Notamacropus eugenii: one gene and its partner. The protein of the gene in region 2 purifies or fractionates together with the protein of the main gene of each other region. This does not show direct contact. Links are inferred from orthologs where the notes say so. Each region holds a gene or a part of one and is shown on either strand. Other genes may lie near its edges.

Region 1 (7,701 bases), on a different chromosome or scaffold from region 2:
CCCTTTCCAATTTTGGAAAAGTGTGAAGTTCTTTGGAATGAAGATGCTACATAAATCCAAAATGTTTTACTATACTTTGTCCCTAACGATAACTTATACAAAGTTACATAATTACATGAAGACCCCTACTATAATGTATAATGATTATACCATTAAGAGTTAAAATTTACCAATTTCAGTATCACACATTTAACAGTTTTGTTTTCCTATTCAAGTCCACTTACAATTTACAGTGACGAGTCACAAATGAGCTACAGAGAGCTGGAACCTAAATTATTTGTCAGTTCAACTGCACAATGAATACCAATATAAAAGTTACCCAATCTTAAGAATGACGACCATACAGCTATCAGGTTGCTCATTCTACTAAACCTAACAGATCAATTCTATATCATCCAACAACTGATGCCTTACTCTCATCCCTTAACTTGTAATCTTGTCCTGGCCTTTCAAAATCAAGTGGTTGATAAAGGAAGAATGGAAGCCACAGTATTTAGAAAATAAGTAAATATAAAGCCTCAAACCATCCCTTTTAAAAGCAGATGTAACATTGGTTAATAATTCAATTGTACATTGTACTATTGACCCTGAAAAGGGGATCAAAGGAAATGAAACCAATTCGTTAATATCGCATGTAACAAAGAATGGTGGCACCCAAAGAAATTGAACAGAACCAGCAACTTTTTCAGTGCATCATTTTCTCGTTGATTTTCCGTGATCTTAACATTTTACCAAGGAGAAGAAAAATTGTCTCAAAATAATTCAACATTTAAAAAAAAAATTTGGTTACCCAAAAGTGGGTTTGTTTTTTTTCAATGTAGCATAAATAGCTTAAGTCTTTAATCAAGAATACAATAATTCACATTTACTGAGTTCCAATGATTATAAATACTTGGCAGAACCTAATCAGTGATATCTGAAATAAGAAGACAAGTATTGAGAACCTATGAGATTTTCACAAGGTACTGACCTAAAGAATGTGGAACTTAAAATAAGGTGCAATCTAAATCTGTAATTCCATGATTTGGGATATTTTTACTCTGCCTTCCTACTGCTTTGTATGGAAGAACACCAAAGCCCTTACACTAGGTAATCTACAGGGATAAGAATGGAGTTTGAGAACTCCCAGATGAAGAAATTCCCTCTGTCAATGCAGGTTAGTACCTTCTCTTAGAGTTGCCTAGAACAGAAAGGTGATTTGCCCAGGGTCAGCAGACAGTATCAAAGGACAAAACTCAAACCTGGGTCCTCCTCCCTGGAGTTCAGTACTATGCCCACTACACCAGGCTGCCTTTTAGGTAGAAAAGGGTTTAATCACCTAACATGCAAAGTTCTACCTACTATTTCACAAGAACTGCTTTTTTAAAGTTTTTTTTAATTTGTTCAGACTTTTCTCCTAATAGATCTTTAGAGATATTTATTCAAGCATCATTTGGAGGACTGCCTAAAGCACGATGAGCCTCTACCAACAGGAAAGGGAGAAAAAGTCTATTGTCCCACAGTTTGGATTTCCGGCTACCTCCAAATAATATCATCACAAACACATCGCCATCACGTTGAAAATAATCTCATCGGCAAAGATATTAGTGGACATAAAAATGCAACACCTCTGGAGTTGGTATTGGAAAGACAACACTGAAAAATCATCTGAACAGTGGTCATGGAGGTGTCCCTAGCCTTTGACAGATCAACAGATGCTAGGCCCCAAGTAACAGGAAATTGGGAAGGGAGGAGTGGGACAGAAACCAGAAGTGGATAATAGGGTAGAAGGGCAAAGTCTAGGTCTACCTTCTACCTTCCCCTCCCTTCCACACATTCCTCTCCCCCTCTCTCAGCACTTAATGTGTGTTACACATCCTAGAATGCAGCTTATGGACTCCTCTCATGGGCAGTGCACCAGAGACCAAGGGTTAAGTTTGGCTGCCAAAGGGGTGGGGGTGGTGAGGAGCGGATATCCCAGCGAGCTCGGCAGGATATGATATCCTAGGGGCTGATCTAGGAAGCTGTACATAGTGAGTGCTATTAGGGGAATCAGGGACATGGCAGGAGATGCAGCCCTCCAAGAGGGAACGGGGGAAAGAGAGTGAAGGCCAAGGAGGTCTGGAGTGGATCGGGAGCAGAGAATTAAAAGGAAAAAATGGGGATCTAAGGTGCAAGATAAGAGGCAGGAGAGTGGGAAAAAGGGGGCAAAGAGAAGGAAGGAAGGAGGGAAAGAAGGAAAGAGGAAGGGAGGGAGGGAGGAAAGAAGGAAGGGAGGGAGGGAGGAAGGAAGGGAGGGAGGAAGAAAGGGAAGGAAGAAGGGAGGGAAGAGGGGGGGAAGGAAGGAGGGAGGGAAGAAGGGAGGGAGGAAGGAAGGAAGAGAGGAAGGGAGGAAGGAAGAGAAGGAGGAAGGAAGGGAGGAAGGAAGGAAGGGAGGAAGGAAAGGAGGGAACGAGGAAGGGAGGAAGGGAAGGAGGGAGGGAGGGAAGGAGGGAGGACGGAAGGAGGTGGAGGAGGGAGGCCCGGGGGAGGAAGGGGACGCCAGGACAAGCGCACAAGGGGAGGGCGCGGCGCGGGGGGGCCGCTCGCACTCACCCCACTCGAGGAACTCGGCCACATACTTGTCCCTGCGCAGGGCCGACTGGCTGCACTCGGTGTAGAGGCAGATGAGCACGTCCAGCAGGGCCTCCACGCTCAGCGAGCTCTCGTTGCGCCACGGCCCGTCCAGGAGCAGCTGCTCCAGCTTCTTGAGCCGCACCTTGGCCGACATGATGCCCGCACGCCCTCGCTCGCTCAGGACGCGGCGCGCGGGGCGGCCTCGGCTCCGCCGCCTGCAAGGCCGGCCAGGCGGAGGCCGCCGCTATCCGCGGCCCGGAGTTAGGGCGAGCCCCCCGGCGATGGAGGGACTGGGCAGCGAGGAGTCCCGGAGCGGGCAACGGCGCGGGGGCGGCGGCGGCCGCTCCCGACTAAGCCGACATCTTCCGGGGCTCCTCCCGAGAAGCGAAGGGTTTGGGGCCCCTGGCCCCTCGGGGCCATGAGCCGGCGCCCTCCCCCAGGCCGCCCCTTGCCCAGCTCAGCCGCGACGCTCCTCACGCACACACACAAGCACACACACAACCAACCCCGCGCCCTCAGCGCGCGCAGCCGCCGTCTCTCCCACGCACGCGCACCCCGCCCGGCCTCCGGCCTCCGGTGGCGGTGGGTTCCGGAGATTCGGGCGATGCGTCCCCGTCCGTCCGTCCGCCCGCCCGCCAGTCGCCTCAGCACCCGAAGCTGCCCGCCTCCTTCCCCGCCCCCCCTTCACCCTGAGCCGGGTGCGTGAGCCAGGCCGGATCGCGGCGCAAGCTCCCAGCCAGCCTGCCAGCCGACCAATCCCGGGGCCGGCCGCCGCCCCCCTCCTCCCCGCCCCGCCCCGCCCGGCCCCTCCCGGCCCCTCCGCGACGCTGACCTCACCGCGCAATTCCTCCCCTCCCTACTTTTCCTCCCTCTGCTCCCGTCCTTTTTCGCCTTTGCGCACCCAGGACGGGGTCTTCGCCGCTTGCCGTAGGCCGGGAGACAGGGAAGGGAGGGGGGAAGGGAGAGGAAGGAGGGTGGGCGAGGCTCCCTGGACTTTCCTGCCCGGAGCTCCGCTCTTCCCACCCCCATCCCAGCCCCCCCATTCCCCTCCACCCCGCGTGCCCGCTGTCGGCTCCCGGGCGTGGCGGTGGTGGAAGTGGGCTGGGGCGCGCACGGGACTCCCCTGGGCTAGGTCCGTGATTGCGCTGACCGCGCGTGGGAGCCGAGGAAACGGGAGGAGGGCGGCGGCCCCGGCCCCGCCGCTCGGCCTGGCTCGGCCACCCCGCAGTCCCCCCTCCGTCCTTGAATGGTGCTTGACGGGCGCGAACGAATTCCCGGGAGGGCTCCGGCAGAGGGGCCCCGAGCGGGAAGGGCCCGTCGTGGGCGCTGGGGGACACCCAGGCTTGTAGGGGACAGGGGGCGAGGGACGAGCTATAAAATGCCCCCCCCGGGGCGCGTCCTGTGTCCGGGTGCGGCGGGCCAGCGTGGCCCCCGCTATCGGAGCGGCGCGGAGGGCAGGGCAGCGCCGCTGGCTCCCGATAAGTGGGCACATTCCTCCTCTGGGCGAGTCCGGGGTCACCTGCAGGCCGGCGGCTCCCTAGGGACGACCTCTGGGTCCGCCCTGGAAGCCCGCCGGACTCAGGACTGTTGGGTGTAGGACAGGCCTTCGGTGCCCGGAGACGATCCAGGCCGTGACAAAGTCATTGTACCGCCGTGTAGGGAGAGGGAGGGCGGGGGTACACATGTAGCATGTAATGTGTGTCTATGTAACTGGTTATGTACGGACACAAAATGCACGGTGTGTGTATGTATGTACGTGCATACATACATTCCACCATGGAGACGTGAATATGTGTGTATTAAATGCACGTATGTGTGTATGCACACATCACATGCGCACACAGAAGCATCCTTTCACTATGGAGATGAGGTGAGTGTGTACATATATATAAAACATACATACGTACACAGGGTCATTGTCCTCCATGGGTAGGTGGGTTTGCATACACATACAAATATATATACTTTTTTACAACTATTGTGTGTATTGTGTGTGTGTGTGTACATATTACAACTGTAGTATAGATACGGATTGTTGATTTTGTATTGGGAGAGAACCAAGTGACATCACCTTACACTGAGTCAGCGTACAGTGTGTCCAGCTGTGGCTGATCAAACTGATAGAAGCTCTGAAGACTCTGCCACAGGTAGGGCACAGCCAGCCCCTATCAGCATTACATGCACCTACCCCCATGGTGTAACAGTGATTCTGCTTGTGTGTACATGTATATATGTTCACACATGTATAGCAACTGTAGTGTTTATATAATATACAAACACATACCTCCATGGTAGAGCAATGATTCTGTCCAAATCCCATCTACACACGTGTATTTTTCTTCTAGGCATTCAAATTCAACAAACATTTTGTTTTGCTCTGTACTGTGTAGAGAGCACTGGAAAGTTTGCATTTGACTAAGACCTTTCCATCATTGACCTCACGGTGTAATAGGAGCAGTGTAACAAGCACATAAGTAAGAATATGGAAGTAATATGTGGTAAGTGCTTGAACCAAAGAAATAAAGTTCTCTGAGTCCCAAAAAGGAAAAGGCCTTTATTTAAGTTGTTTTGTGACCCATCCTTCTGAAATACCAAGGAAATGTTAGGGAGTTTGGTTGGGCTGATTCTGGGGAGAAATAGACTGTAGTCTAAGTAAAGTGGTAGACTAGGAGTCACTGGTACATTAGATGGAATCTAATAAAATGAAATATTTTAGAATAAATGTATGCTTTGGTTAAAAAAAATCAATTTCATAAGTACACTATGGAGAAAGACATGGTTAGCTAGCAATGATGAAAAATCTAGAGGTTTTAATGGACAGCACACTCAGTAGGTGTCAGCAGTGTGGTGCAACATCCAAGAAAGCTTAAGCAGTCTTAGTCTATGTTGACAGAGTCATAGCTTCCAAGAATAAAGATCCCTCTACACCAAGGTCAGATCACATTTGGAGTATTATCTTTAAGGACATTGATCAGTCATGAAAGGCATTGGGTTCTTGTCATGTAAGAATTAGTTGAAATAACTGGGGTTATGTAGCTTGGAGAATAGAAGGCTAAAGAAGGACAGAGCTGTCAAGTATTTGAAGGGTTGTCCTGTGGAAGAGGGATTAGATGTATTATTCTCTTTGGTCTCAAAGGAAAAGAACCAAGAAGAGTGGGCAGAAGCTGAAAAGGGGAAAATTTACGTTTTTTATTAGGAAAAAACTTCCTAATAATTAGAGCTGTCCAGAAAGGCATTGGGCTTTCTCTGGAGTCTTAAAACGGAGGTTGACTCACCTACCTCTCTGATACATTTTCATGGGTATGTGTTGGACTTCAAGTGTGCGTTGGATTCAGTGGCATGGATCTTAACCCTAGAATTGTGTGATTCTGGTCCTCACCAGTCCTAGTGACAGTACCAAGCAGAGTATTTGTAAAGCATGTGTTACAAAAAGGAAGTAACATTTAATATCAGATTGCATACAATCTAATAATCATTGCAAACTATTTGATTACAAATTCCTTGAGAGCTAAGAATGTCTTTAATCATCGCTGATACCTGGCACAGACATATCATAGTCAGCATTTAAATGTATGTTGAAAGACCTAAAGATACCACCTACACAATAAAAATAACAGCATTTATATAGAGCTTTGCCAAGTACTTTGCATATATTATCTCTTATCCTCACAGCTACCGTGTAGATTAAGTGCTATTGTTATCCCTATTTTACTGATGGGGAAACAGACTAACAAAGGTTAAATGATTTGCCTTGGCTCACAGGGCTATTATGTGTCTGAGGCTAGTTCTAAACCCAGATGTTTCTGACTCCAGGTCCAGTGTTTCATCAGCTACACCACCTAATATCTACCCAACTCTTCTCTTCCCACTGAATACCCTATTTACACCTACATAGACTATTTCAGGAACTCCTGAATAGGTGTTCCTATTTCCACTCCCCTCCAATTCACTCTTCATACAATCACATTCTTTATGTGTAGATTTATTGTGTCACTCATCTGTTCAAAAAATGCCAGTGTCTTCTTTCTACAAAATAAAGTTGAAAATTTGCTCCCATTCAAGGTCCTCTAAAATTTGTCACCACCCTATTCTTCCAAGCCTTAATTCATGGTATTCCTTTCCACCCACTCCACTTAACCTTCAACTGCTGAATGGGTCTTGCCTCAAACAAACTGAGACCTGGGAAAGACCTTGGCCAAGGTCTCCCACAGCATCAGGGACCCTCACCAATCATCCTCATCTAGGTCTTGCCACTGGACTTGGATGACTCCAGAGGAGAGAGTGGGGCTGAGGGCTTTGCACAGAGCTGCAAGTCAAGACCTCCCCCTCCTAATGTCATTGGTTCACTTCAAGAATGAAGGACAAACAACTTCACACAAACTATACTATTCCTTGCTCTCTAGAAAACATGAAGCAGCAGCCCATCTTTATGTTTCTTTGTCTCTTCCGTTACCAGTGCTTGGCATGTGCACCTCTCTTGTATTGAATTCCTACTCTTCCTTTAAAAACTGACTCAGATTTTACCCCTGAAGCCAGAGCTGTAACTAGGGCAGTGTGATGAGAGCTTTTCACCTAGGTGCTGCAATTGACAGTATTTAAACAATTGCTGTTTTTCAGGAGTATTAAAACAACCAGCACCTAGTTAGCAAGAAAAATAAAATAGTAATCCACCAGTTGGTGCTTCTCCCCCCAGGATGGCTTCATCCGATTAAATGTCTTTACCTCCCCCATAGTAACTTCTCTAGCAGCCACCTCTTACCACTTTGGGGAGCTACTGTGACTTCCACATCTTGCCCAGGGAGTGTTTTGTGCAGCCAGCCCCAAGTGCCAGAATTGATTGTTGCTTTCCATGACCACACTCATTCTCCCCTCCCACATAAGTGATAATAAACTTTGTTTAGCATCTAACATCTTTATGCTGCATTATTGTGTACTGTAGTTATGTAAATGTGTTATTCCCCCACTAAACCAAAAACTCCTACAGAACCAAGACCATTTATATCTCTCCCCATGCCTAGTGTAGGCTGTATACAAAGTGGGTGCTTAGTAGATGTTAATTCAGTTGAATTTATTTTTTTAAAGTACTAAATTTGAGGCAGTGTAATA
Region 2 (7,404 bases):
CTTGGCAAAGATAATGGAGTAGTTTGCCGTTTCCTTCACCAGTTCATTTTACAGATGAGGAAACTGAGGCCAACAGGGTTATTTTAGTGACTTGCCCAAGGTCACACAGCTAGGAAGTCTCTGAGGCCAGATTTGAACTCATAAAAATGAGTCTTCCTGATTCCACACCTGGTACTCTATCCAATGCACCACCTAACTGCCAGAGAGAGAACACAGCCCCTACAGATTGCCGTTTTTTTCCCCCTACAGATTTCTAAGAACCAGGCAACAACCCTTAGTTCTAAGGAAAAAGTAATCTGAACCAGAAAATAGGTATGAATATATGAATATGTATGGATGTGTGGGGGGGGTGAAGGGTGGAGAGTAACGTCACAGTCCAGGCTGCAGGGAAAAGCAGGGATTCCACACTTCCTGACTCCCAGTCCCCTCCTCCCTTCCATAGCCCTTGCTGGAGGCATTTGGGGATTCTCAGAGAACGTGGGAGCACAGAATGTCCAAGCTCCAAGGAACCTTGGGAATCACCTCCTTGTCTGAGGCTATAATTTTACAGAAAAGGAAACTGAGACCCTCAGGAGGAACAGGACTTGTTCAAGGTCACTCAGCTTGGAAGGGGCAGGGCTAGACACCACACTGGCAGCCAGGGTTAGAATATATCCAGGGATTCTAGTTACCAAGGCAACAGGAGCAGGAGTGGGAGGACTCCTGGGGGGAAGGGAGAGAAATGCCCCACCCCCCACCTCCCCACCCCCACACCCCACCCCAGCTCACCAAGGGGCCCCTTCTGCAGCCACATTCGTACTCTTGGCCCAGCTCTGATCAGGAAGGGAGAAAAAGGCTGGGGATTGGGCATAAGGAGGACCCTGTGCCAGCCCATCTTGAGTGGGACAGCTGGGTTGGCAGATGGAGGCAGGAAGAGTAGAGCCCTCCTCCCTTCCCACACACAGATTTTGGGAAGATAACAGGGAACTTTAAAGGGCCAGTGCCCAAAGTCACAGAGTCTCCAAGCTGGAAAGGGCCTAATAGAATGTCAGACCACCAGGGTCCTTAGACAGGGAAGGAAACTAAGACCTGGAGACAAGAGAGTTGCCAGTACTCACAGCCTGTCAGGGACAGAGTAGGCATTGAGAGGTGGGTCCTCCACCATGCAGTCCACAGCTTAGGGAGTCACAGATCCATGGAAAATTGTAGGCCCTAGCCATTCTCCCACCCCAGGGGAAAGGAGAAGATGATTAGATGAGGCCAGGCACCAGGACACCTGGGTCTCAAAGCCAGCTGGGTCCCTGGGATGCCAGACTTGGGGTTTTGGGGCACAGTTCCCACCCCAATTAAGCAGACTTCCTCATGGGGATGAAAATTCAAAGGTTGTGAAAATACCCCTTTCAGCTGATAGCAGGAGAAGTTAGAAAGTGTTAACACCGAAGGGGAAAGAGCCTGGGACAAGCATTTCTAGGCCTCACACTAGCTGTGTGACCTCAGCCTTCTACCTCTGGGCCTCAGTTTCCCTATCTGTAAGGTGGGGTAACAACTGGTTCTTTGAGGGGCAGAGAGGGGAAGTGCTTCGTAAACTTTTCTGTAGAAATGGGGGCTATAACTATTATTAATCCCATGATGTCATCATAGACTGGAGCCAGGTCATTCCAACACAGGCAGCCTTTAGCTGAAAACAATTCTCTTTTCTAGTGGAAAGCCCTGTGATGCAAGAGGCCAGTCTTCTATGCCCTTGGCCTTGGACAGCAAACCTACAGTCTGTTGATTGGTGGGGAGTTCTCTAGAGGCACCATGGTGCTGGGTGGCTCAGTGCCAGCCTGAGAGCTCTCCCTTCTCCCCATATGCCAGGCCAGCTCAGCAGAGCTCCCTCAGAAGAGACTCCAGGGTTACCCCGAGGCCACCAGGAGGCAGTATAAGCAATCATCAAAATAAGGTTTTCCTTTGCCTAACCGCTGTTCTCCCCGTCTCTTCCCCCTCCCCCCGCAAAGTTACAAAGTGGAAAATGAGACTCATTGAATTGAAGGAGTTGCCCAAGGTCACATAGCAGCCGAGCACCTTTCACTGACGTCCAATTCAGGGTCCCCTCCATCAGGTTCCACCTGCCTCTGTTTCTCACTCTGAGCCCTCAGATCCTGGGGAGGGGGAGAGGGGACTCTGTCTTTGGCAGAGCCGGGGTCCTGCAAAGACGTGAGTGGGGTGTGGCACCTTCTGCCCAACACAAACACATCCCCACGGTGGCTCCTCGGAGCCCGGCTCCTTACCCTAGCGCAGGGGGCATTGGGGAATGGGAGGTTGCCAGGGTCCGGGAAAGAGGAGACGGCTGGGGAGATTCGTCACCACCGCCGCAGTGGCTTCTCTAGAGCCCTGTCTTTGGTGAAAGGTGTGGGGGTCGTCCGATAAGAGATGGGACGGAAAGAGTCCGAGAACCCTTCTTTTTTCAATACCTTCTTTGCACAGAAGAGACCGGGTCCCACTGAGGGAAGGGTCTTGTCCAGGGTCCTGCAGCCTGCTGACAGTTGGCATTACAGCCCGGGCCAAGGCAGCGACGGTGTTTGGTCCCTGTGCTGGATGGGGGGGTGGGGGTTGTCTGGGGTGTAAGGTATGCCCCAACATTGCTCACGGAAAAAGAAAACAAACCTGGCCTTTTACCCTGGAACCAGACGACCGAGGGAAAAAGCCCCGGAAGGTCCTTTCCCCAGCTCTGGGAGTGGAGGCTGAACCAGACTTAGGCTTCCAGTCTCCCAAAGCCCCATCCATCTCTGGGGTCAGCTCACGCCTAGCCAGGCTTTAACCCTGTGGGCAGGAGCTTTATTGAACCCTTCGGCGCGGAGAGACCGCCTGGGCACGGAGACTGGCGGGGGCCGGGGGGGCCCAAGGGAGGGACTCACTCACCAACTCCAGCCTTAGCGCCGTGACCTTGTCGCCCAGACCCAGGCCGCGGCCGGCTTCTGGCGTCCTTCGGGGAGGCTGCAGCAGCGCGGAGACGGGCTCTCCCTCGCCCCGCAAGCTGCGGAGCAGCCCCTCGGGAGTCTTCCGGCCCACCTTGCCCTCTACTTCCCGCAGGTCGGGCGCCGAGCACTCCGGGGTCCCCTCCATGAGGGGGCATGAGGGGCCCAGGATGCTTCGCTTCCCCCGCCCCCCTGCCCCTACGGGGCGGGGCCGCCCGGACGTCTAGCTCCCACCCTTCTCCTGGCTCTTCCCCCGACGCAGAGTGGAGCTTCAGATTCCGGAGTTTCAGATCTCGGAACCCGATGAGGTCCGGAGCGGGGCGGAGCCTGAGCTGGAGGCCGGGGACGACCTGGACTCCAGATTCCCCCCCTTTCCTCTGCGATCAGCCGAACCCCGCAGAATCTAGCTTGGAACTAACTGCAAGCCCGGGCTGGGGGCGGACCCGACAGCGCCGCAAATATCAGGGCAGAGCCCGGCCTCCTGCGCAGCTACTTTAGAGGCCAGATGCTCTTTTCCCGCGCTACCCAGACAGCAGACCCGGGTTCTAGTCTCCTAGCCACTGAGGCTTCCCGGCTGGATGGTGTGCCATCGACTCCTCTCCAGAGCTCACCTTCTCCATCTGTAAATGATGGGCGGAAGTACGGATAACGTGCTGATCTTGGAGTTGGGAGAGAGACCTGGGTCTCGGACAGGAGGCTGTGGGACCCTGGGCAAATCCCTTCTCAGTGTCCTCACAACTCAGGCAACGTTATTATCCCCATTTTACAGTTGGGGAAACTGAGGCAAACAGCCGTTAAGTGACTTGTCCAGGGTCACACAGCTAAGTCTGAGGCCAAATTGGAACTCAGGTTTTCCTGACTCCACTTTCATCATTATAGCTGCCTCAATGAGGCTAACAATAATTGGGGTACCTCCAGCTCACTGGGTTGTCAAAGTGAGGCTCTGAGGAGAAAAATAATTGGAAGGAAAAACAGAAAAGGAAAGACATATCTATGTCAGTATAAAGGTCTACTATTGGTAACAGGCAGGGCATGTACTAGAGAACCTCTGTTTGTTCTAGTTCTAACTTTCTCTGTTCTAAGGTCCCTCCCAGCTCTGATATTCCTTGTTCTACAGCCCCAACCACCTCTGACATTCCCTGTTCTAGGATCCCTTCAAGCTCTGACCTCTGTTCTCTGTTCCAAGCCCACCTCTGCTATTCTCTCCTCTCCCCATCACCAGTTCTGACACTGTTTTCTAAGGACCTTCCTAAATCTGTCTTATGTTCTCAGTTCTACCTCTTTATGTTTCTTTCAACTATAGCACTCTCTGTTCCATGTTCTAAGATCTCTTCCAGCTTTCATATTCTCAGTTCTATGTCCCAAAGGTCCAAAAATCTAGGTGGAAGATTCCACAAGCCTCTGATTCCAAGCCTGGGGTTCTGGCATCCTCATGGGCTGAGTCCTCTGTTCTTAAGTACTGAATAGTCTAACCTTCTCAGAAACAGATTTGAACATTTCGAAAATCTGAGTCTATATTAGGAAAAATCCAAGATTCCTCAGTTTGTGTTTCAGCCTAGAAACTCCCTTCCCTCCCTCCTCCTCCCAAGAGCAAGGCTAGAGACCTTGGGGGATTCTGAACTTGATTCCAAGGGGCCTCTGGATGTAAAGAACCCAGATTGATAATCTCCCTGCCCCCAAACCCTATTCCCCACCCCCTCCTGTCCCTGTTTTCTCTCCCTAAAAATTAATTGGCCCTAGGGAAGGGAGTAGCTAGGCAACAGCCTAGAGGGGGTGGAGAAGGGAGTGGTAAGTGTGGCATCCTCTTCCTTCTTCCTCCTCCTCTTTATCATCTACAATATTAATATATACCCCCTGGATTCCTGTATCCTATATTAGACCTTGGGGACATTAACTGGGCAAGGACCCAAACCCTTCCCCCTAAAGCCATGGGGATCTAAAAATAATGAGGAAAGTACCACCAAATCTGGAATCTAGCGTTCCATCTGCCATTGACTGCTGTGTGTGTGGCCTGGGCTAAGTCACTTTAGTTCTCTGGACTATCTTTTAAATAAGAATAACCGTCCTTGAGGCTGTGGTGAGAGCACAGTGAGGGAAGGGGTCATACCCTTCTACGTCTCTCCAGATAACAGTCCTCTTTCTCAAGTCACGCGGACCCTGGATAGTTCAGGCCCTCATCACCTCTTGCCTGGTCAAATAACAATAACATCCACAAAGCACATATTTTATTATCTAGTGAGTCCTCACAATTACCTTATGACCACACGCTTCTATTATTTGTGTCTCCATTTTATGGGTAAGGAAACAGAGGTTAAGTGACTCCTCCAAGGTCACACAGCAAATGTCTGAGATGGGATTTGAACTCAAGTATTTCTGGCTGCAGGTCTATGAACCCTACCCACAACTTTACGCTGCGTCACTTACTCAAGCCTTCCATTTGTTTTCCCATTGCAATGTTCTTCCCCTTCTCCAATCCATTCATGAGCAGACATCATTTTGTAAAACTCTTACAGGTTACTGCCAATCTTGGTGCTTGCAAAGGCCTTTCCAAAAACCTTTCCAATTTAAAAAAAAAAGGAAGGAAGGAAAATCCAGTAAGTCCTTTTCCCCTCCTCCCCCCGGGCTCCTCCCTACCAGCTTCTAGAACCCATGGGTGCTTGGGGCCAACTGGAAGTCACCCCCTCACTTTCTGATGAGAAGCCAAACTGAGTAAAAAGCTTTAGGGGGGCACCAATGTGAGGTTAAATGAATTTTTAAAAAAAAGTTTCAGAATTTTATAAAATGATGCCAGCTTGTTAAAATTGTGTAACCCTGGATTTAAATATATATATACAAATATATGTATATTTGGCATTCTGTGCTTGACAAATACCAATTAAAATTAACATTCTGTAGGCACAGAAGATTGTATATGAAACAATGAATCTCTATAACAAATTGATGACTTCATAAGAAATTCCTATCATGGGATGCTGCTGATGCTGTCTTGCTGGTCTGGGATGCCCTCTGGACCTCCTCCTGGGCTTTTCTGGGTTTTAACCTGCTTTGGTGCCTCCTCCCCTTTCTTTCTTTCCTTCTTTTTTTACATCACTATAGCTTAAGCCTCTCCTTTCCACCCCCTTAAAAAGAGAGAGAGAGAGAATCCTAGGAGCAAAACAAATTCCCACATGGGAAAACGAAATCTCCTGCATCTGAAGTCCATGGGGGTGGGCAGTAAGTGGGGCTCTGGTTTTTCACCTTTCTACCTCAGCACCCCAATAAGTGGCATCTCCAGAGTTTGGAGGGCATGGCACCTACACTGGCATCTCCCCAGTGAGGTGGTGAAGTATTCTTGGTATTACCTCCATTTTATAGATGATGGAAGAAAGACTCAGAGAGGAACAGGGATTTGTCCGACCTACTCTGAGTAGGATTCGAACCCAGGACTTCCCTGACTCCAAGGCTGCCCCCGCTGCCCTCCTGTTCCTACTTGGAGTCCTTAAAGCCCGCTTTGAAGACCCGCTCCATCCACGTGCTCTTTAGGGGGCTTTGGCCAAGTCGCTCTCGGTCCCTGGGCCTCCCACGTGCTCCCCTCTCAAGTACAGGGAGCTAAGACACTGCGGGTGACCTTGACTTGGTTCCCTTTCCCGCCCCGGGAAGCCCAGGGTTCTCCCAGGAATCCCTGTCTCTGGACGTGTAAAGGGGGAGGGGGCTGGACGGTTCTAACTCTTGGGGTGTCACGGACCCCACGGGCAGGGCCCTTGGTGAAGAGTGGGGGACCCTGGCTCGAATCAGGCATCTAAAAGCGGACAGTTACGGCCCTTTGGTTACCATGGACACCAAGGCTGCGGAAGCAGGCCTCCCAAGCTTTAGAAAGCGCAGTTCAGGGGGGCCGCTGAGGCCCCCACGCCCGAGGACGATGCGCCTGCCCGGGGTGCCGGCCTCGGAACTTCTCCCTCCCCACGCTCGCCTCCTGGAACCTCGGTCTGCTAGTCCTCCAGATCCCCGCCTCCCCAGGGGGCTCCGGGGGCGGGGCCGGGGCCCTCACGGCTCCTCGGGGCTCCTCCCCCTCCGCCTCTTCTCCCGCCCCTCCCGCTCCGCGGCCCTTTAAGCCCCTCCCTCCTCCGGCCTCTGACCCAGCGGAGACCGGAAGCTACGGGCCGGGCCGGGGCGGGGCGGGGCGGGGAGGGGTCGGGAGGCAGCATGGAGGAGGCGGCTCGCTGCGGGCCCACCCGCTGCCGCTGCTGCCCGCCCTGAGCCTGCCGGGGCTGCGCTAGGCGCGCTCCGCGGCGCCCCCTGACGGCCGTGAGTGCGTGAGGCGGGCGGGGGCGGGGGCCGGAGCTGGGGGGCGATCGCGGGGGCGGGGGTGGGGGCCGGGAGCTGGAAGGGGGGGACGTTCAGGGCGCGAGGGGCCCCCCTGCTGGGCCAGGCTGTGCCGCCTGGGAGGGGAGTGCTGCGCCCCTCCAGGCTCCCCCTCCCATGCCGCCAG

Evidence for each region.
Region 1: the proteins of LURAP1 (region 2) and CDC42BPB purify together in Homo sapiens (co-immunoprecipitation; 3 studies listed by BioGRID and IntAct, with this or other methods). This does not show direct contact. The link is inferred for Notamacropus eugenii from reciprocal best matches to the Homo sapiens genes LURAP1 and CDC42BPB.

The regions. Positions count from the first base shown.
Region 1 is NC_092872.1:350,271,424-350,279,124, reverse strand, and holds the start of CDC42BPB (serine/threonine-protein kinase MRCK beta), read right to left. Parts: upstream 3,093-7,701; 5' UTR 2,750-3,092; coding exon 2,575-2,749; intron 1-2,574. UniProt on the Homo sapiens protein: Serine/threonine-protein kinase which is an important downstream effector of CDC42 and plays a role in the regulation of cytoskeleton reorganization and cell migration. Regulates actin cytoskeletal reorganization via phosphorylation of PPP1R12C and MYL9/MLC2.
Region 2 is NC_092873.1:507,293,897-507,301,300, reverse strand, and holds the start of LURAP1 (leucine rich adaptor protein 1), read right to left. Parts: upstream 3,217-7,404; 5' UTR 3,085-3,216; coding exon 2,881-3,084; intron 1-2,880. UniProt on the Homo sapiens protein: Acts as an activator of the canonical NF-kappa-B pathway and drive the production of pro-inflammatory cytokines. Promotes the antigen (Ag)-presenting and priming function of dendritic cells via the canonical NF-kappa-B pathway.